Linked DNA regions of Lytechinus pictus. The protein of the gene in region 1 interacts with the protein of each later gene in a pairwise test. Links are inferred from orthologs where the notes say so. Each region holds a gene or a part of one and is shown in the gene's direction. Other genes may lie near its edges.

Region 1 (12,150 bases):
AACTTCTCCTGTATATGATTCCATCACAAAGGAACACAAGGATACATTACAATCTGACGAAAAGGTATAGTATTTTATTGATCTAAAAATTTATTTTAGCTTTAGAGCAAAGAAACGGTTCATAGTGAAGAATTTGCCATTTAATGGGATTATGAATACAAAAATGATTTTGATGATGATGATGATAATAATAATAGTAACAACAAAAACAATGATATTGGGTTCGTACATATATATCGCTCAGGTCTGTCAGAGTGTCAGATATAACTCTCAGGGCACTCCACGATATTTTTTTCTTTAGCCTAACTGTCTAAAGGGCGCTTTAGCATTTCAAGGAATCAATTCCTGCCGAATCTCTATTTACCTCAACTGAGTCGAATGGGGCATAATGTAGATTGATCAACTTAAATTATTTGATATTTTAAAGATCATATTTTCTCCTTGATCCTAAAGTTAAGTGTTTGATACATAGAAGGACAATTATTCATAAAACGGACTACAACAACGTAAAGAATCGTGTTGCATACACGATCCAAGAATTATTCCAATCTAACTTTCACCGTCAAGAACACTGTTGTCAAAGTTTACACTTCTTACTGTTTACGTATAAATTGAAACCTAATTTTCATATCAAATAAACTTTGCTTTTATTTCTTCTGTCATAGCTTGTTGCTCCAAAAGGAGGATATTCTATCTTCTCTGTGAACAAGCGACCGGTAGGTATCTCAGAATGTATGACCGTAGTTATTATGAGATGGATTTTAAATTCTTTATAATGGTAAATATCATCATACATTAAAGCAACGTGAATTATACTCTACTGCATATGATTTTTACCAAAATCTGATTGAACATGAATATACATACTTCCAATAGATAAACAATGATTTCTTTTACATTATTATGACGAGTTTACAAGTTAATGTAATTGTTTCTTCTATAAGGACACACCGTCTTCTTCCAAGAACACTGGCATGGATGTAACGGATCAAACACAGACCAATTCTGTGAACAAGGTAAGGGCATAAAAAGCACACATTGCACATAATTTACCAAATCAACTTATTTGAATTTTCATAGAGTTTCATTAAATTTGTTTGAGTCAATGTATGAATATATAAATATGTTTTGTTTGCACAGTTAGCTGTTTTAGTTTCAGTTTATGAATAAGTTTTAGCAGGGTATCTTGTCCATGGCTATAGATATTACACTCGTACTTTATTTAATATATTCGCATTTTATTGTAAGAAATGAAATGTCATTTTTCATATAAAAACGAATATGAGAAAACATACTTTAATAGTTCTTTCTATTTCATTCCTTGTAACAGAAGCAATCCAGTGGTAAGAATGCTTGCAACTTCCTGCCAAGGATCACACCATCCATCGAATCCACTTTGTCATCTTCTTCTTACACCATCAAAGGATCCGACTCTGATGCCAAACTGGCCAACTTTCCTCTGGAGAACCTGCCAGCGACTTGCAAACCCTATCAACATCAAGAGCCTCTGAAGACCAAGGCCCGTTGTGAATCTGTATATGATGCGGGATCTGATGATAAGGTGAATGAGACCTTGGCTGGTGAGAATCCGAAACAGATGGCCATCAGATCAGTGGATGACTCTGTCTTTCAACCTAAAGACACAGATGAAACCGAATGTTATAGCCAGGTCAACGGCGGCACCAAAGTGAGGCTTATTAGCGTGCGACCAGCTCAACATGCCAACTCGCCGTTAATGAACACTGGAGAATCCGATTCTGATTCTGAGGTACCCGAGATCCAAAGCCAGAATAACAGCGGCACTCCAAATGTGAGGTTAATTCAAGTAAAACCGGCCAAAGACCCATACGTGAAGATCGCTACTACCAGGCAATCTAGACCTGCCGATCAAGCTTTGGAGAAGAAGAGTTCAACTAAGGAATGCAACAACACCGTCAGCAGTGCACGCTTCATCACCGTAAAATCAGTGCACGAGCCTCTGCCAACCTTGGCTAATCGTGTATCTGCTGCTCTAGTCCAGAAAGCCCTTGATGCTACGAATGAGACCGTCCCAGAAATAAAATCAGTTTCTGACGATATTACAATCTCCCAGCCAGAGTCTTCTTCCTTGGCAACGAATGACGTGCTCCAGATCAAGAATCTCAGACCTGTTGTAGATTCTCAAACGTGGCAGTACCCGGTTCCTCCCCCTAAGATCCAGAACTGGACCACCGAGCCCCTGGAGCAATCAAAGAGCCAAGTCACCAACATCGGACAAGGAAAAGTTTCTGATGAAAATGTCCTCAATCTAGACAATGGACATCCAACCTGTCCAAGTGAAACAGATATTGCTTCAACATCTGGGGATCACGCTCTTGTTCCTGTGGCCAATGGAGGGGACTTTTCGAAGGTGATTTATGATTTTTTTCTTCAAATGTCAGGCTTTTATTCTTTTAACGTCACTTTACATAATATTTAATTAAAAAGTGCTTTTGGGCTTTACAAGAGACGCCGTGAAATTCTCTTTTGTACTTGAAAATATTTATTTATCTAGTGTTTTTTCTCATATCCTCTATGTAGCCTTCTAAAAAAACCCGGAAGGAGCCTTCACAAAGACGATTCCCCAAATCAACCAACCCGGGAATGACAACGGATACCTCTTCTCATAACCAAAAAATGGTAATTACACAATCCGAATCTATTCAGTGTATTTTCATATGAATTTGTTTCTTTACTGTTAAGTGGTGACTCTATAAAAGATATATTTCATTACATGTTTAAAACAATCCAAAACATCTAAAACATTTCGATTACTAAAGATTATTGAAACCTAAACTTTGTTTAGAAAGGTTTGAAATAATCTTATAATGCTGATTAAACATTGGAAAAATTGTGTGATTTTGATGATGTCTTTATGTAACACGTGTCAGTCGTCAATGCATGTACCATGCAAACCAACTATATTTTAAATATCAACTTTCTATACCATGTTTTTAATCGTATTTCACTTTTTCCAGCAGCTCATATTTTTGAGATCTTCTTATTCTCTTTTATTCCTTTTCATCCTTTTCATATTTCCTTGTCTTTAGGCTATGGATTCAAAGACAAAGAAGAAGAAGCTCAAGAAATTCCTAAAGCTCGCACGCAAGCACAAGAACAAGCCTGCGAAAGCGGATTAGGAACTATCAGATCGCTTCAACTATACTGCAATGATTGAAAACAAACCGGATACCTTTGGGTCATAAACAAACCTTCAATTCACCTAGAATATTATCCCATAAGAAAAAAAATTGGCAGGTCTTTGGATCATTTACCGAAACTGAAAAAAAAAAAAAAATTCAATAAGTCTTAGTTACGAACTCAAAAATACAATTTATTTTGTTTAGGAAAAAGGCTAAATATGCAACAGGTCATATACAGAGAGCCACTGTTAACTGAAGCAATCAGGGGGCTTTAATTTCATTAAAAACTGGCAGAGTTATGAATGATGGTTACAAACAAATGCAGGCTTGTTCATTTATTTCCAAAAGGATAATAGTATGTTATATTCTGATCATAGACAACTTTATTTCAGTTCTGATTTTCAAAGAGAATTTATTTTGCAGTTTGAGGAGTCCATTGCCATACTCTTCAACCACTAATGATTAGTTACTTAAAAAGTCATATTGAAATAATTCAATGACGAATCTTGAACATACTTGAAAATTGAATTCATTTAACTTAATGAAACAAGAATATTGTTAACGAAATGTAATTTTGAGAAGTATGCATACCTTATCTAAATAAAGCTCAAAAACAATCTGCAGATTCTGACATGCCATACTATGAATCAAGCTATATATGATAATGGAAATGCTTTGTTAAGTCTCATTCTCAATAAAGAAATATTAAAATAATCAACGTTTAACACGTTCTTGTTTCTAGATGTGTGAAGTAAGCGCATAATGTGAGTGTGAGTTGGTTTGTTGGTGTATGTTGGTGAATATATGTGTGCATGCGTGACACACACAAGTTGGCTTGGTTTGGTATATTCATTTTTTGTGTTTTTTTTATATTTTTCTTCTGTAAAATCTTCTGTTTTTCTAGCAGTGTATAGAGTAAATTAATTCTAAGGATCGATCATTTTTAAATCTCAAATGATTTCATATCAAAATGCATCGGGCTTTAAAACTAAATATTCATGTTTCAAGCTAGATCCAGAATTCGATTCGTCCTTGACTACAATTCCACCATATATACATACATATATTTTATATATATATATATATATATATATATATATACATATATATATATATATATATATATATATATATATATATATATATATATATATATATACATATATGCACTTGAGGCCATAAGTTTACATACACCCATGGAATTTAGTGAAATTTGTTCGCTTGCCAAACATCGTAAAATTTACTTTATCTTCAGAAAAAAATACCACCATGACGAATTTGGTATCAAAATAATAAAAGAGCATGTTAATCTCTTTCACATAATTGGAATGCCATTGGGATTAAAGTATATTTCAGGTGGAATTATCTTTGAATAAAAAATAATATTTGTTCCAAATGTATTATGTTTGTTGTTTTATTTTCAAACATCGTTTCATAGAAATATAAAATGTCAAATCTTTGATTTATATAACATTTTCTATCATGATATGTCACCATTGAACAAAAAAGTGTAATAAAAAATTTTTGTGTTGAGAATTAACTAGGTGACAAATATGAAATGTTTTTGTTAAGTTTTTATTTTTGATTTTTCTAAAATATGAAGATTTGGGGGCAAAAATGACACCTAAATATTTTTTAGCAACTGATGACAAAGCAATGTAATGAAGGGGCATGACATACTCACTTGTTTGATATCAAATTCGTCATGGTAGCACAAAATTTCATAAGATACTGTACATTTTATGATTTTTGGCAAGCGAACAAATTTTGATATGAAATCATTTGAGATTTAAAAATGATCGATCTTTAGAATTAATTTACTGGATTTACTCTACACTGGATATGGATCACAGTTAAAAAAGAGCCTATTATGTTTAATTATCATTACTTTGAGTCTTGACATAGGACCGGAACATTCTAAGAACATTATGTATATATATATATATATATATATTCAATAAAGAAACATCTAAGAAGGGTAAAAAAAGTATCCATGTATTTGTTTGATAAATAAGACTGATAAAAAATCTGACAATGTCCCCTTCCTCCCTTTCTTCTCTTTCTCCGCTTAGCTTCATTCCCTAAAATGCGTCTATCACTATATAATGATATGAATGCGTATGCCCTAAAATAATCCTGATGTGGAGGACGTGTAATGAAAAGTATTTTCAGGGTGAATTTTGCGACTTTACAAGAAAACTTATTTTGATCGCGTGCCGGTCGGATCTATATTTCGCAGTTTTCCTTTCCTTTTCTCCCCTTTTCTTCTCTCTTTCTTGGTCATAGAATTATTTTTTGGGGGGGTATACGGCTCCCAACCCTCATCTTTATGCCAATGTTTACATCTATTTTGGTAATACCAGTCCTACTACTTTAGTGAGGGTGATTTACCATCAAATTCCTTCAGATATATTGAAATCGAAACTGATAAAAAAATCAGATCAAACGTTTCCTTGCAATAACAAAAAAATTTTAAGCTCCGCTCTTGTAATTAAGCATCATAATTTACTCAGGGGCGGATCCAGGAATAGGATTTCCCGGTAGGATTTTCCAAGGGGGGGGGGGTTCCGAAGAAAAATGAAACAAGCTAAAAAAAATCCGCCAGTGACCATAATAATACCCAGCTTACCATTATAAAAGCTGCTCCATCTTTCTTTAAAGTTACCAGAAACAAAAGCTTTTAAATTTGTCCTATTTTTTCATTAATTGTCAGTGTATGCGAGCCCGTAGCTTAATCTAGGGAGTAGGGACGTACTGCCGCGTCTTAGAAAGAGTTTCATTAACATAAAAGTCATCTAAAAAATAAGATTTGACAACTTTCTTGATTTTTTTTTAATGGGAAGCACAGGCGTATTGCTTTGCCTATATTAACTATCGAGTAAAACGACGGAGATGTATTGCTGTATTTCTATTAACATAAAACAGATCCTACTGTCGGATTAAAATATCCAACAACAACAAATCCTTGTAACGCTCCCTAGCTCGAGCTCAACCTATTAAGTAACCTTGTGAAGTTCTTTCAGCCCTGAGGAATGTTTCATCAACATTTGTCATCCGACAAGTTGTCAGGTCTGGCAAGTTTCTTGATTTTAATTGATTGCAAGTGTCTGTTTCTACAAAATATCCGAAAAGTTATTTCATGAAATCCCCAGGGCCCAGGTCTGAAGAGTCTTTTGCTCTCACAGCACTTTTTATTTCCCATTTTCTTCGCCCTAGATAAGACACCATAGAAAGATTGACACGAAGGAATTTGAGAAAGCGCATCCCGAATACTGAGTCGGTATTTCCTCCTTCATTTATCGGCATTTTCTAAGAGTTGGGGAGCAATCTGTGGTAAAAGAAAGGTTTTTAAAATGCCAAGCAAGAAGAAGAAGTACAACGCAAGATTTCCACCTGTAAGTAACAACGGTTATTCATAAATGTACACTAGACCATCGTGTCCACGTAGCAGCGGCCCTCGATTCCCGACTGGCCGACCGATGCGTGATGCCTGCATGCAACCGGCTTGGGGCCTTGACCGCGGGGAAGCTTCAGGCGGTGTTTCGGCGGCGCGGCGGAGCTCGAGATCTTGAACTTTTTTGAAGATGTGCCGGCTTTGTCTGACTGAAAATTCGAACGATAACGTCAATAGCAGAGCCGAAATATAGCCGATCGCGATATTTAGGAAATGAAAAAATGAAAATCCATATTTTATTGTTCGAAATAGACGTGAAATGAAATACTCCGAAAATTTGCTTTGCCCAATTGATCATGGGCCCGGCAGCCGCTGTGCAGCGCCAGATCGACAAGGCTCTATGTCTATCCCTTTAATCATTGAACGCCGAATAGGGTAGCAGCAACTCCCATCTTTTAACGTCTTTTGGTCTGACGCGGCCGGGGTTTGAACCCCCAACCTCCCGGTTGTGAGACGGACGCTCTACCAACTGAGCCAACACACCGGTAACAAAACTGGGCATATTGTTTATTGACCTCGAAATGTGACTGATACCTCGTCTTAACCTAGAGTCTACTGTTTTGGCCTGAAATGCACCAAAACTGGGAAAAATTTAAAAGGGAAAAACTGACTTACTTCGGCTGTCACGCAACTTCACTTCCCTGTTTTATTTGAACTTAATACATAAACATATGGGGCCTGTTGCATGACGAGATGAGCGATACGTAGGAACGTCCTAGGACCATTCTTCCGAGATATAAAGATTGGCGACAAATCAGCGCTTTCCGTTTCACGAAGGCAATTTTGTCTTCCAAGTCCGCGACATCATTTGATATCGATAGTATCGGAAAAATATTTAGTCTTCAACGTCACCTGAACATGTTATTTCTGAATGACGACTTTACATAAAATCCGATATTTCAATAAAAGGAGATCAAATAATGTTTTATTTATTACTGATAGTAGAATTGATGTATGGAGCTTACTTTATGAGGTTAAAAGAGAAAAAACTTTAAAGATTCACAAACATAACTAAAATAAAATTGAAATTTTCATTATTTCCCTTATTTAGAACACGGTGTCTTTTTAGAGACACCTTTTATTGATATTTCAACGAAAGAGACCCTTGTCCGACATAAAAATTGATTTAACTATGTAATTTCGACATTTATTAGTTCAATATTCTGTATTTTTATAGAATACTTGTATATAATGATAATTGTGCAAATTATGTGTTAATATGTTATTTGTTGAGGTAAATATAGGGTTTGAATGGAGTAAGCAAAATCAACAGTGTCTGATTGTATGAGACTAAGAAGGAAAATATGAGATACGAGATGGCGGACACGAAAGCAAAAAATGCATTGCAGAAAAAAATTGAAGTCAACAACAAATTATCTTTAACAGAAATAAAACATCTCATTTTCAAAAGATACACTCTAGAATGGCAAAAAAGATGGAATGAATCCCATCGCCTACTTAAACTATACCATCCCACTGTTAACTCTCCCTTTTTTTGTTCCCTAAGTAGATTCCACGAAACCATTATCCACAGACTCCGTTTTGGTGTAATAGGATTGAACTACGATTTAAAAAGACTTAATATACACCCCACGGGACTTTGTGATACATGTAGGCCCAACAAATTAGAAACAGTTGAGCATTTTTTAATCGAGTGTCCCAAATATATAATAGAGAGAGCCATGCTACTTACAGAAACAAATCTATCAACCCCCCAAAAAATAATGGATCTCTTAAAGAGTACTAAGGTAGAAACCCAATCTGCATTGGTCCGTTTCGTTCTCAGAACGAAACGATTATAAAGTCTGAATTTTCTCCGCCCCCTAATTTTGTATTTTTTATTTATTTATTTATTCATTATTATTAATTTTTTTTTCTACAAGAGTTAAATCTATGAAAGGGAGACACAAAGCAGAAGAAGATGCAGACACATGGTCGATTTTTACTCACTTTCCTATGGTCCTATACATTTTGATTATATATGTCATTTTACTACATCGACAACAGATAGCCCGTAACCGTAACGCGGAGCTCAGCGATCGTCGTGGATCCTGTTTTTCTCTTTTTTTTTTTTTTTTTTTTTTTTTTTTTTTCCCTTATTCTTTTTTCCCTTCCTTACCCTTTGCTAATTATCTGAGTTCTTTAATTTGGTAATTTTGTCAGGGGGGACAGAAAGGAGTTAAGAATGAAGAGAGAAGTTTTGTTGTTTATTTGTTTGGTTTTGTTTTCAAGTTTGTTTGCTTGTTTTTTTTTTTTTTTTTTTTTTTTTTTTTTTTTTTTTTTCACTTTCCTCCCATACTTTAGTTTTCGGTGTCCCGAAACCTGAAGTTTTATCAGGCCACAAATCCAGTTTACTTTTGTTTTCTCTATTGCAGCTTAATGTAGCAGAAGAAAATACAACGTGCTGCAAGAAACAGAACGCATAAAAAAAAGAAAAAAAAGGAAAATTCTTATTTTAAAAGGACAAAAAATACAATATGTCTATATAAGAAGAAAAGAAAAGAAAAGAGAAAAAATGAAACAAGAAAAGAAAAAAGAGAACAAAAGAAAAGAAAAAAAAAAAAGAAATGAAAAGAAAAAAGAGAAAAGAAAAGAAAAAGAATAGGAAAAAAAAGAGAAGAGAGAAAAAAAAAAAAAAAAGAGATAGGAGGAAAAAAGAAAAAAAAAGAAAAATAACAAGAAAAGAAAAGAAAAATAACAAGAATAACAAGCTGTTGAAAATGAACAAAAGCTGTGGCAAAAATAGTCAATCCTGACTGGTTGCCAACCAAGGAAAGAAGAAGAAGAAGAAGAGGCTGCATGTGAAAAATCTAATTTATTTATTTTATTTGTCAGATAAAATGCAAGAAATACAATGTGAGTGTTTAGAGTATAAACATACCTCAGTTGCATGATGAGTAACATAAGAAAATGAAAATATGAAAATTGCTGCAAACATGTCCAAGTGGATAAAGTAGTACTTTGCAATAATAATTAAAACATAGAAAAAGGTGTGAATCAATCCGCAATGGAAAAAATACTTTTACAGAAATAATGCTAAATATGACAACAATCATAAACGCTGGTCATATTTAAAGATGATCACTTATTTTATGGAAGTTTATATTATAGATATATGGACTGCTTTGAGAGGCATGGTTGTTTCTAGAGGCTCAAGGGGACCGCAACGCGACTATGCCCGAGGGCTTTGCCCGAGGGCATGGTCTGGCCGATGCGGTACCCGCGAGCCGAATTGAAACAACCATGTCTCGAATATAAAAGCAGTCCATATATATTTTATGAACCGAATTATTAAACATAAACGTTAGGGCTTGGTCTAGGTTTAGATCAAGTAAAACTAAAACAAAAAAGCCTGCCCCTGGCCTAGGCCCAAGGCTAACGTAAGGTCTAGGCCCTTACTTAGCCCTGCCCTGAAGTTAGGTCTCAAATCGAATATCAAAGCAGTTCCCGAGCAGTTCATACCGATAGGCCCTACTAGGCCTAGGCTAGATATTTTTAGGAACCAAATTAGGGTCTGATTCTGAATAGGGTCTAGGGCCTACAGTGTAGCTAGATCTAAAGTTCAGTCTTAAAATTTAGACTAGAGTATAATCTAACGTTAGATCTAGTCGACTAAACCTACGTCCTAACGTTAGATCTAGAGTCTACTCTTAACTTCTAAGCTAACGACAATTAACATTAGATCTACCTGTCCTAACGTTGTCGTTTGTCAATACCTAACTGTCCCAGGCTAAGGTTAAGTAACGACATGAACGAGTTAAACGTTTATTGTTAGAAAGTGCAGTGACCGTCTAATCTTTTCACCTGACTCACCTTTTGCGAGCATGCATTTGAGCGAACTTCCCCAAGACTTGATGATTGATATACATCCGTTATGTCCTTAATAAGCTAGTTTTATTTTCAATAAATGCCATATATTTTAACAGGAATTAACAAGCAAAAGTCAAAGATCGGCATCGTTCCATCGATATGTCATATCCGTTGCGCGCACTTGCGCAATAAGCGCGTAAATGCGCGAATTGTTTAAAACTTTCGATCAAATCGCGCGGATATTTATGGTATCCGTAATCACCGCAGAAAGCAACATTTTGCATGCAATCAAATGGGGATTTCAGCCAAATTTTGCTATGCCCGTCGTTAAGGGGCGGATCAGGGGGCAACGGGCAGAAATCTTGTTAACTATGCCCGTTGCCCTTGGTTACCACCTTAGTTTGTTGTTTTGAAGGCATGGTTGTTTACATGACCTCAGTTTTGACCAATCAGAGGAACGGATTATTCGACATTCTTAAAGAGAGGTTTATAAAAGAATATAAGGTTTAAGAAATAACATAAAAGATTAAAAATGCGCCTCTTCGTATGGACTTTCCATAATCTTTTCTTTAATGAACTTATCTTCATTTGTAATGATTGTGATGGATTCGTAAGCTATAGGCTTAATCTGTATCTTAAATTCAATATTAGCTGCAGGTTTTTTGTTTTGTTTCACTGTTTCAAATCCAACAATTAATTTTCATTGATTAAAATAAATCTCAGCAAAAAAAATAATTATAAGGAAAATAAAATAAAAATAAATAAATGATTTAGCATGTTTAACATCTTAGTTTTGTTTGTCTTGTTTTTTTTTTTGCTGAATGTTATTGAACACGTTTTTTACCTTACATAATTTCTTTTAAAGAAATTTGTTGTTTATTTTTAATGAGAAAGCATGAGGGGTCGGCTAAAGAGATATAGTGCCGCCCATTTCAAGTATTTCAAGTTTATTTTTTTAATAGAAAAGGGGTGGGGATAAGACAGAGGGAGAATAGAAGAAAACATATTTTAAAAATATGATTTGGCCCTATACATTACCTCCGGGAATAATACATGTACCCCGGAGAAGTTAAAATGACATCCGTTTTTGGTCGTCCTGCCGTGCAAAAAGACGACCTGAAATTGATGACAACTAGCCCCCATATAAAAAATAACTTGGCGCCATCCCAGATAAAATGCATCAGAGTGCAACCAAAAAAATGTTTAGAGGTGATATGTCAGTGTGGCTTGCCTTAAATGCATTTTCTCTCAATGCCGACGGTGGCGGGCGGTGTGCAAAGAAGATCATGCCTACGTAGGACATGTCTGGAGGTGTCTTTCCAAGGACCATTCTTCGTATCGCCCAAATCGGCTTTGTGAAACAGTTGAGCGATATCTCGTTCTTACGTAGAATGGTCCTACGAAAGACCCTTGCATGCAACAGGCCCCTGGCCATTTAGTCCCTGTACAGATCGAGCTAGAACTTTGGTCTCTATATTTGGTGAGTGGAAACAACGGAGTTTAGCGGAACAGCCAACATAACAGAGACCGAAGCTTTTGGTCTAGTCTTAACCTAGCCTTGAGGACTCCATGATGATGTTTTTTAAATATTTTGACATATACTTCTCCATCCTGATCATTGAGTCTTGAATCGCTTGCCATATATGTATAAGAGACTGACCAAAACATAGATGGATTTCCCTAGGAAATCCATATTTAAAGGGTGAAATCAGTTTATAAGTGTGA
Region 2 (11,469 bases), on another chromosome or scaffold:
TAATTTTCAAAAAGTATATTACAAAAAGAAAAAAAAATAATAAAAGAAATTAGTGAAATAAAATAAAAGAAAGAAAATGAAGAAAGAAAAAAACAAAGAACAGGGAAAAAAAGAAAAATAGAAAAGAAAAAAATTAGAGAGAAAAAAGAAAAGAAAATGAAAGAAAAATTAATAAAACAAACTTAATAAAAAAATGGGGAAAAGGGGAAAATTAAGAAGCCATTACATATATTTTTAAACAGCTGTGGCAACAGTCTATTCTGACTGGAATATAATTATTTAAAGCCAAGCAAATAATTTTCACTTACTTTTTGGGAATGGCACATTTTTATTTTTATATCCTTTAGTTTGTATTATTTCATTTTCAGTAGAAACATATTTTTTAATCAGGCATATTCAATGGGAAGGGGTATAAATGGTTTAACCACTGTCAAAAAAAAATGAAAGGAAAAAAAATATGAAAACGGCAAAAATTATATCTGGTGATTTTGGATAAAAAGTGTGAGAAAAGTCCTTCCCTATATTTGCCAAAATGTTGGGAAAAAAATCACATTTCATATCAATGAAATGCCTTCCCAAAGTATTTACTTTCTCAAGAGTGGTTTAAGAAGTCATTTATAAACAAGAAAGAAAGAAACTGTCTGTTTGTTTTTGGCTAGAAAATACACAGCTTCGAAAGAAACCAAGTATCAACATACATACAAATGCACACGTGGGACTGTGATGTACTTGCCTATGTGTTTTTATGTGTATTAATTCATGTGGAAATCGGTCTTTTTGAGTCAAAAGAGAGGTCATAATTCCTCTTCTTAATACTTGCAAATAATCAGGGTCCACCAGATTTTCGTAATATAGACTGTAGAATTGCATTTCATTGGTGTAAAATGTGACTTTGACTGAGATTTTCAAAGTTCTGTGGAAGATTTCTCAGCAAATTGCTCAAAAATGTGATTCCGTGTTGAAAGTCTATATGCAAATTATGCAAGGCTCCACATTAACTTTTTTTGGTGGTGGCCCGTTCGGGCCACCAAAACCATCAAATATTTTTTTTTGGTGGCCCGATATTAAAGTTTGGTGGCCCGAAAAATATAAAGAAAAACATTAAAAATGAATAAAACAAACTTCTGAAATATTAATTCTGCAGCCACTACCACTAAGTTCCTTTCACTTTATACATCTTGCATGTAAACCTTGTTTGCTGTTATTTTACTTTGCTAATTGATAATTGTTTCTATCGTTGTAAAAATGAAATGATTGAAAGTGAATAAATGAATTGTATTGTTCGCAGGTTGTGTGGACTTTTTTTAAAATCTCTGTATAGAGATAATGGTAAAGTAAATAAATAGTGCATAGCAAACCCAGATAGATGTACAAAACAATGGTTTTTCCTTCCTTCCTCTTTGAATCCTAAAACCTAGATTATGCATGCCCCAAATCCAGTTTATTTCTGTTTTCTCTTATGCAGCATATTATAGAAGGAGAAAATCACAGAAAAATATGCTGCAAAATTAGAACAATGCATAAAAGGGAGAAACAAACGAAAATAATTTTCAAAAAGTATATAACAAAAAGAAAACAAAAATAATAAAAGAAATTAGTGAAATAACACAAAAGAAAGAAAATGAAGAAAGAAAAAAACAAAGAACAGGGAAAAAAAGAAAAAAAGAAAAGAAAAAAATTTGAGAGAAAAAAGAAAAGAGAATGAAAGAAAAATTAATAAAACAAAGTTAATATAAAAATGGAGAAAAGGGGAAAATTAAGAAGCCATTACATATATTTTTAACAGCTGTGGCAAGTCTATTCTGACTGGAATATAATAAAAAGCCAAGCATATAATTTTCACTTACCTTTTGGGAATGGCACATTTCTATTTTTATATCCTTTAGATTGTATTATTTTATTTTCAGTAGAAACATATTTTTTAATCAGGCATATTCAATGGGAAGGGGTATAAATGGTTTAACCACTGTCAAAAAAAAATGAAAGAAAAAAAAAGAAAACGGCAAAAACTATATCTGGAAAAAAAGTGTGAGAAAAGTCCTTCCCTACATTTGCCAAAATGTTGGGGAAAAAATCTCATTTCATATCAATGAAATGCCTTCCCAAAGTATTTACTTTCTCAAGAGTGGTTTAAGAAGTCATTTATAAACAAGAAAGAAAGAAACTGTCTGTTTGTTTAAGGCTAGAAAATACACAGCTTCGAAAGAAACCAAGTATCAACATACATACAAATGCACACGTGGGACTGTGATGTACTTGCCTATGTGTTTTTATGTGTATTAATTCATGTGGAAATCGGTCTTTTTGAGTCAAAAGAGAGGTCATAATTCCTCTTCTTAATACTTGCAAATAATCAGGGTACACCAGATTTTCGTAATATAGACTGTAGAATTGCATTTCATTGGTGTAAAAGGTGACTTTGACTTAGATTTTCAAAGTTCTGTGGAAGATTTCTCAGCAGCAACATTTTTTATCGCAGCTCCCTGAGTCTGAATAGGCTGAGCTAGATCTAGAGCATGCACAGTACAGCTGTATGCAGTGGATTCATGCAAAGCTCACGCCAGCCGGCCGGCGCGGCTGGCTGGATAATAGCTACTGTATGCTATAGCTGTAGGCCTAATATGCAAACTGTGTGTGTGTGTATTTGTGTGTAGATCAACAAAAAAGGCGCATGACGAACTGGCTTGCAATTTGAGCTGTAGAAAGTTGATAAATGCGTGCAAAATTGGGAGAAAAATTGCGCTACTTTGAAAATTATTGGTTGCCCGATTCGGGCCACCAAAACTTAACATTTTATCAATAATGGTTGCCCGAGGTGAATTTTTGGTGGCCCCGGGCCACCGGGCCACCACTAATGTCGAGCCTTGAATTATGTTTTTCAACTAAAAATCATAAATGTATGATTATTTTTACTTTTGGTTTAAATGGATTTATTTCATGCTATTTATGATTGCAAAAGGGTCCCCGACTAAGTTCATTTGAAAAAACAATAAAAACAAAAGTTTCAAAAACAAAGAAATACATAAGAGTTAAAAAAAAATTTAAAAAATTGATACTGCCACCAGAAATTAGCATTCTACTAGCTACGTAAATTGAGTTAAAGGCAAATACATACACAAAAAAACTAATTTAGGCAAAATTTCATACCCTTATTTGCATAAATAAAAAAATATAAATTATCAATTTTTGGGAAAATTTTATTATGCAGTCTTGAAGTTTACATCCGGCTCTACGCGCGTGCAAATTTTTGCGGTTATTGTGCAATCAGTATATTCCGGTCTGAAATAGCCCAGTTAAGATAGGGTTAAGGTCCCCTTGGATTGTTAGGGTTAAGGTTTGCTAGCTGACTATCTTATTCTGTTTAAATTACTTTTCTTCATCTATACAAAGCGCAAAGTTTCACCTGCTTTCGTGTGTACTTCAAGAGTACAATGTCAGTTTTACAGTCTACATTGTATTTGTTTACAGTATATAGGCTTGTGCAACACTTCCATTTCATTGAAGTACTACGATTACATGTAGTATACATGTATTTGAGCTTATTTCAAATAGTGTTTCTTTCCCTGTCCAAAAAGTGAGCACAACACTCAGATATAGACTCTATTAATATGGAATGATGTGCACAATTGAACAGGGAGGAAAGAAACATGATAAAGTAATGGAGAAAGGGAGAATAAAGGGGGAAAGAGAAAGAGAGTTGGGAGAAAGAGTTTTTATTAGTTATAACTTAAAAGAAAATAGTACACCACTTCAGAAATAAAAGTATTTAAAAAATTAATCTAAAATCACATCCATGCAAATTTACAACACACAAGCCTATGCGGTGTTTTAAAACACGTTTTTTTGTAAAAAAAACGGGTGTTTTAAAACGCGTTTTAAAACATGTTTTAAAACACACCGTTTAAAACGTGCCAACCCTGCCCGGAGAAGTTAAAATGACATCTGTTTTTTGGTCGTCTTGCCGTGCAAAAAGACGACCTGAAATTGATGACAACTAGCCCCCATATTATAACAAATAACTTGGCGCCATCCAAGATAAAATGCATCAGTGTGCAACCCCAAAAATGTTTAGAGGTGATATGTCAGTGTGGCTTGCCGTAAACGCATTTTCTCTCAATGCCGACGGTGGCGGGCAGTGTGCAAAGAAGATCATGCCTACGTAGGACATGTCTGGAGGTGTCTTTCCAAGGACCATTCTTCGTATCGCCCAAATCGGCTTTGTGAAAAAGTTGGGCGATATCTCGTTCTTATCTTACGTAGAATCAGTAGAGGCGCTGGTCAGAAAATTGGGATCGTTCCAGTTTACAGGGACTGTCTCAGTTTATAAGGATTTCTTCACACAAGAAATCTAGGAAAGTTCATTCACCTGTCAAGTGCCGACACCAATCAAGTGTGCTAGTCAATGTAAACATTATCAGGTTTCAAAACATGATTATTGGAAGACGGTAAGTCATGAAAAATAGACGGTGAACTGGGGGGAATTGAGGTCACTGAATCTATTTTTAGCACTCACAATTCCCGTAATTGCTGTCTTTGTCCCGTAGGGGGAAGTGAAAAAAAAACGTCCCCATAAACAAGGACAGTCTCAATTTATCAAGACATGATTTGTCTTGGTTTATGAGGATATCCTTGTTTTCTGGGACAATCCCAATTTTTGGACCAGCGCCTCTACTGAGAATGGTTCTACGAAAGACCCTTCCATGCAACAGGCCCCTGACTCCACGGTATTCCCTCCATCAATGGACCGATGACGGCCACTGGGCCCGTAATGGTGGAGCAAACAACGACGACATGATGCAAGACTCAGCGCAGCCTGCACTTTGCAGGCGTAGGCCGTAGCCGCCTACTACGCCGCACCGCCGGAGCCGTGTACCGGTTAGCCTCTTGTCGAGGCCCTGGCGGCTGCTTCCCCAGCGAAGCGAGGGCTTTCCTAATTCGCGAAGCGAATTAGGCCTGGCGCGAGCCAGGGCCTCTTGACATCTGAACTGAATTATATATTCATGAGGAACGTCTTCCTAATGAATATACATGAGTCATGATATTACCGGTCACCGAGTAAACCAATGAAATGTCAGAGCTGTTTCGTCTTGGGTTCGGAATACTATATAGTAGTCCACTATTCTGCAGGGGATTCATTTAATTGCGGGACAATAAAGGGGATATAACCAGCAAAATGCTACAAGTAGTGGTACTACTATTACTACTACTATTACTACTGGCCGTAACAGACCCATCACCGCCCCGAAACTTCCCGGGAGATACTGCTCAGCCGCTGGTCAGACTCGAGTCAACTCCCAGCAACTCCCCCCAGCTTCCCTCACTGCACTGCACAGCGGAGATCGATAATCGACGCCCCGGATCGACCGGTGGAATCGCATGAAATATTACATTTTTTCCATATCCTGTGGGTAGATTTACAAAGACATCTCGTCCTTTCAGTGCAGAGTTAATTTCATCGACTTGCAAATCCTTAAATCGGTCAATATTCAGCGTTTTAGAGGCGTATTCAGTGCTCTTTGATATTTCGTCGTCACTCTTCGCCAAGAATCCAAGGGTCGCCATTCAAGAGGAGCTCATGAATATTTAATATGACGTCATAGCAGCTCGCGCTCCTCATTGGATGATTTTCACCGACCAGTTTTTGGTCGGTGAATTGGTAAAAACAATAAAAAACAAAAGAAAGTCGGTGAAATTCGGTACAGATGTCCAGAGGCCCTGTCTCGCGGCGCTCTGCTTCGCTCTCTCCCGTGCTTTGCCATGTTCGCTCGGAAAGAAGCCGACAGGGCCTCGACAAGAGGCTATGTACCGGTAGGATAGGCCCCATGGCCTATTCTGCTGCATGCGCATGCCCGGCCCGTCGCGGTACGAATCATGTCTCATTAAACTGTCTCAAATTTGCTCATAAACTCTTGCACTCACTAAAAACACAAACTAACGGTCAGGAAAAGAGATGGAAATTAAAAAGCTATCTCGATCACTCACCAAAACTAAAGCAGCCCTTTGAGGAATTAACCTCTTCTTGCCTTGAACGGCTCGGACCGTCGCTCTTCCAAGTGCAGCCATAACACATATGACGTAATATAGGTCTCGGGGACAACGGGTGCCGCAGCCGGACCGACTGGTCTGGCTGGCCGCGCCGCGCCTAGCCTGGGCATAGAGACCGACGCATCATCGATTGGTCCGCCGGCCTTGACTTTATCTCGCTCTCGTTCGATTGTTTCTGCAGCTTTAACTCGGGTTTCAGGACAGGCACGTTTTCATAGCAAGGTGTCGTCAGCTTAGCAAGGTCAAGTTGGTTCGATTCAAATTGCATGCCTTAAAAACTATTTTGTTTTATTTATTTCTTCATTTTTTTTTGCCGAGTGGGTTGAGCCAGCTCAGCCTCAGAGTCAGACTCAGAGGCTCAGGCCTCAGCCTCTGCAGCCGGACCACCATGGCATTTCTATTGCTGGCGTGTGCAATTTCTTGTGCACACATTTCCAATGGGGATATCACAATTCTGTGACTGCGCACCTATAATTTTATAAATGATTTTATTATTATTTTTATTTCACAAAAAAAATCAGTCGATAGTGTTCCTTATATTCTCATGAGTTAGCATGGTTAGTGTGCCAAAAATCCTCATAAAATCAAAAATTTGAGAGAAATAATAGGCCTAACGTTAGGGCTAGGCGATACAAAGTCAAAGTCAAAGATAGATCTTAATTAGTTACTCTAGACTTAGTCTAACATTACAAGTTAGACTTAAGTTTAAAGACTTTATATTGAACTAAATTTGAAGTAAAAAGTATTCTTTCTTGACTCTACTCTAGTCTTGTTATAAACAGTGGATGTGTAAACTCCTGTAAATGTACAGGGGCCGCGGAACCGGGGGAGCTGGGGGGGCTTCAGCCCCCCCACTTTTTTCCAAAGCCGTGTACAAAAACGAAAAAATGACCATATGATTGTGATTTTTAGCATGATCAGCCCCCCCCCACTTTTGGCTCAGCCCCCCCACTTTGAAAACCGATCCGCGGCCCCTGATGTATACTATTACTATAGTGATGCATATGATAAACAATATATGTTTGGTTACTTTGGTTTGAAATGAATTAATTCAATTCAGTTCAATTTTTTTTCCTTCATTTTATACGCCTGTCCTAGACGGGACGTATGGTATCACGCTCGGTGTCCGTTGGTCCTTCCGTCTGTCAGTTAACTTTTCCTTGTAAACACGATAACTTCAGTTTTACTTAACCTAGGCTCATATAATTTGGTGTGTATGAGTAGCATGGATCCCAGGAAGCCTAATGATTTTGAGGTCAAAAGGTCAAGGTCACACTGACATGTTTTCATCTTGCCCTTCTGTCGTCCTTGTATATGTGATAACTTTACTTTAACTTTAGTTTAACTTAACCTAGGATCATATAATTTGGTGTGTATAACATGGATCCCTGGAAGCCTATTGATTTTGAGGTCAAAAGGTCAAGGTCACACTCACATGTTTTCATCTTATCCTTCTGAAGTCCTTGAAACATGATAACTTTAGTTTAACTTAACCTAGCCTAGGCTCATATAAATTGGTGTGTATGAACTAGCATGGATCCCAGGAATCCTATTTATTTTGAGGTCAAAAAGTCAAAGGTCAAGATCACAGTGACATGTTTTCATCTTACCCTTCTGAAGTCCTTGTTAATGCGCTAACTTAAGTTGAACTTAACCTAGGCTCATAAAATTTGTTGTGTATGAACTAGCATAGATCCCAGTAATTACCAGTACTTCTATTGATTTTGAGGTCAGAAGGTCAAAGGTGAAGTCGCTACCTTCCACTTTTCTTGCTTGACCATAACTCCATTTTCCGCGTTACAGGCGGGCGTATTATGTGCTCGCCTTAGCGACACTCTTGTTGTCTTTGATAGATAGATAAATGGTTTATTGATAAAAATCATGACATCATCGTGGCTAAGGCCGAATTGCAATGTATTACAAGGTAATAATGACACAAAAATATATTCAAACAGTAACACAGATAATTACAAAATAAATAATATGGCCTTTGTTCCCTGAGATAATCCAGTGCATGTGTCCTATTGAAAAGAACATTTTACTGTTGATACCCTGTTTTAATGGCCTTGGATGCCCTCTGAAGTGAGCACTGCCTTCCTTCCCTTTGCATTGCCCCAATGAATTCTTAATTTGAGCCCTGTAGTCAGTCAAGAAGCCTTTGGGCGATTCCATGCTAGAAAAATCAGCTATTTTCGCAACATTTTTCAACCTATTGTCCAAACAAACAAAGAACTTAAATTTGTTTTGTGGTAATAATAGAGTACTACTGGGTAGACATATGAAAAATGACAACCAACAAATATATGCTGTCCATGGGTGAATTAGAGATGAAACTGTTGCGTGTCGTACGGGACATTTCTGAGTCCCGTACGGGTCGACACACAACTTGTTTGCCCTTAATTCAGCCATAATCAAATATTTTTTGTCGGTAATCAGGTTTTCACATGACTATCCGCTATAACTTTATTATTGACCAAAAATAATTTTTTTATTGCTCAAGCAATCAGCTAAGAGACTAGAAATTGTTGACAAAATGTCCCGTACGACACGTATGGAATCGCCCCATTACATATACTTGTAGAAAAAAAGTTATGGTATTCCTTCCTTATATATCAAGGAGTGTTTGAAATAATTCCAATTATTTGGGTAATAGTAATTGCAATGTAAAGCGCTTAGAAATACCATATATTACAGTATATAAATGTAACTCTATTGATTACCGTATTTTGCAGGTAGTAACGATGGCAGATTCACAATCTTCTCAACTTCCAGAGGATGAGCTAACTGTCCCTCGTGCCCCTCTTAACAAGATGATCAAGGAATTACTACCCAATGTCAGAGTTGCTAATGATGCGAGAGAACTCATTTTAAATTGCTGTACTGAGTTTATTCAGTTGGTTTCATCAGAAGCAAATGATATTTGCAATAAGCAGGCCAAGAAGACGATATCGCCAGAACATGCGCTTCAAGGTAAATGGTTTCAGAGTAGGGGATGGGTCATAAAGCTGTTCATAAGTTAGGAGTAATTTACAACAACTGGTTACCTGGGATGAGAAACTAAAGGAATACCTATGAGAATCTAATGTCGTTACAAGCCGTTCGTAAACTCACTCGTAACTTATGAAAAGCTTTATCCACCAGAGGCACTAACAGGTTACATTGTTAATGCATTTGACCAGAATGAAAATGTGTAGAATTTGACTGGCATCGTGCAATGCATGCATTCATTGTCAAAATTTATGCTCACAATTTTAGGTTTTCTCTTGTTTGTTTTTAAATGATTTGCAGCATTGGACAGCCTAGGGTTTGGAGATTACCTGCAAGAGTGCAAGTCAGTTCTAGAGGAATGTAAGACGGTGGCAGCAAAGAAGAGGAAAGCAAGCACTCGTCTTGAGAATCTTGGTATACCTGAAGAAGAACTCCTTAGACAACAGCAGGAGCTCTTTGAAAAGGTACTTTCAACAGCTTTGCACTTCAAAGGCTACTATAAACTCAACAAAAGGGAAGAACATACATAAAGTTTGCCATTTGGAGCCTAATTAGGGGGGGAGGTAATAGTGTAACATAAAGAGTTACACTTAATAATAATATCCACAATTTATAGTGAATTTTTTTTTATGGTCTGCCATAGATTAATACAGATATGCTTTAGTAATTGAACAATTGTATCTTTTCTTTAATAGAGCCCATTAATATGTAATGGAGAAGCATTTGAATATTTGATATTAGTATTCAAGATTCAAGATTGTTTTATTGGTCCATGAATGCTAGGCATACAGAGAAATTTAGTTTCCAATGGCTTTAAACTCATAACATACACACAAAAATGCAAAATAAAATATATCATAGCAATCTAACTCTACATAAAAAAACAATACAACTTTAGTGAAAACATTTCTACAATAGGTTGATAACCCTTAGAATTCATGATTCGAAATTCATAAATTATAAGAAATAGGTGATGAGATGTCTGCATGCTGCTAACCCCACCCCCCCCCCCCCATCCTAGTATGCGGTATATAATCATCATAAATTGACACTTACAAAACACCCATTCATAAGAGAGTGATAGATATGTAGGAAAATATGAAAGGAAGCTGGAGGGAAAGGTAAAGTGTAGAAGAAGAAGAGAAAGAAAGGGAAAAGAAAGAACAAGAAAGGAGAGAAAAGGGGAAAAAGAAGAAGAACTGAGTAGGAGGAGAAGAAGAAGAAGATATCTCATCATGTTACTTTTGAGTTATACACATGTATAGAATCAGGAATAAAGGAGTACCGGTAGCGGGAAAGGCGTGTGCGGGGGGGGGGGGGGGGGGGGGGGGACACAGCCGTATTCCTGAACCATTAAACCGGAACCAATTATTGAGGAGGTGGGTCTTGTCTGCCATTATGGTATGTACTTTGGCAAGTATGCGTTCTTCGTAAATTGCTTGGACAGGGGACAAATCCATGCCTATCGTCCTTTGTGCAATTTGTCGAATCTGGTCTATTCTTTGTTTTTGCTCGTTTGACATATTTCCGAAAGTACATACCAGGTTGCAAGTTATTACACTTTTGATGATTGATTGATAGAACAGTTTCAGTATAGTTTTATCGATGTGAAAACTTCTAAGTTTTCGCAAGAAAAGCATCCTTTGATTTGTTTTCTTTTGTACTGATAGACAATTTTGCTTCCATGAGAGCTTGTCATCAATGATTGTTCCGAGGTATTTGTACTCATGTACCTGCTCAATGACATCTCCGTGAACACGGAGTGGTTCATGAATTTTATCACCCTTCCGAAAATCAATGATAATTTCTTTGGTTTTACTGGTATTCAATATCAGGTAATGATCGTCACACCAACTGACAAAATCATTTATCTGTGAGATATATTCATTAGGATCATTGAACAGGTAGCCTGTTATCACGGTATCGTTGGCATACTTGATTACACTGCGGGATGTCTTCGTACCTATGTAATTACTCGTGTACAACGAGAAAAGAACGGGAGATAATACGCAACCTTGGGGGGCTCCAATTTGCGTCACCAACTCTCTTGACTGACAATTCCCAGCTTTAACTGATTGAATTCTCGAGCAAAGGAAATTTTGGATACATTAAATAAGTCTGGGGTTTACATTCATATCTATCAACATTTGTACAAGGCAATGAGGTGCGATCGTATTGAATGCACTCGACAAGTCAAGAAATAGTGATCGCGTGTACGACTTTGCACGATCGAGATGCTCATATATCTTATGGAGGAAAACAAGGGTAGCATCTTCTACACTTCTCTTTGACCGATAGGCAAATTGACATGGGTCTATTTGACACTGTGATTCTTTTAACAATTGGACAAGAAAGAGCCTCTCGAAACATTTCATATTATTTGATGTTAGTGCTACCGGCCGGAAATCGTTTGGTTCACGGGCTTTGTTTATCTTA

Evidence for each region.
Region 2: the proteins of dr1-associated corepressor-like (region 1) and protein Dr1-like interact in a two-hybrid assay, tested with the Drosophila melanogaster proteins (2 studies listed by BioGRID, with this or other methods). The link is inferred for Lytechinus pictus from reciprocal best matches to the Drosophila melanogaster genes NC2alpha and NC2beta.

What each region holds. Positions count from the first base shown.
Region 1 is NC_087251.1:39,084,757-39,096,906, forward strand, and holds the start of dr1-associated corepressor-like, read left to right. Parts: upstream 1-6,376; 5' UTR 6,377-6,514; coding exon 6,515-6,556; intron 6,557-12,150. Other genes in the region: mucin-2-like, read left to right, coding at 1-64, 666-716, 945-1,016, 1,331-2,389, 2,560-2,658, 3,069-3,158.
Region 2 is NC_087259.1:25,481,158-25,492,626, reverse strand, and holds the start of protein Dr1-like, read left to right. Parts: upstream 1-6,032; 5' UTR 6,033-6,286; intron 6,287-8,777; 5' UTR 8,778-8,786; coding exon 8,787-9,015; intron 9,016-9,333; coding exon 9,334-9,497; intron 9,498-11,469. UniProt on the Drosophila melanogaster protein: Bifunctional basic transcription factor. Activates transcription of DPE (Downstream Promoter Element) containing promoters while repressing transcription of promoters which contain TATA elements.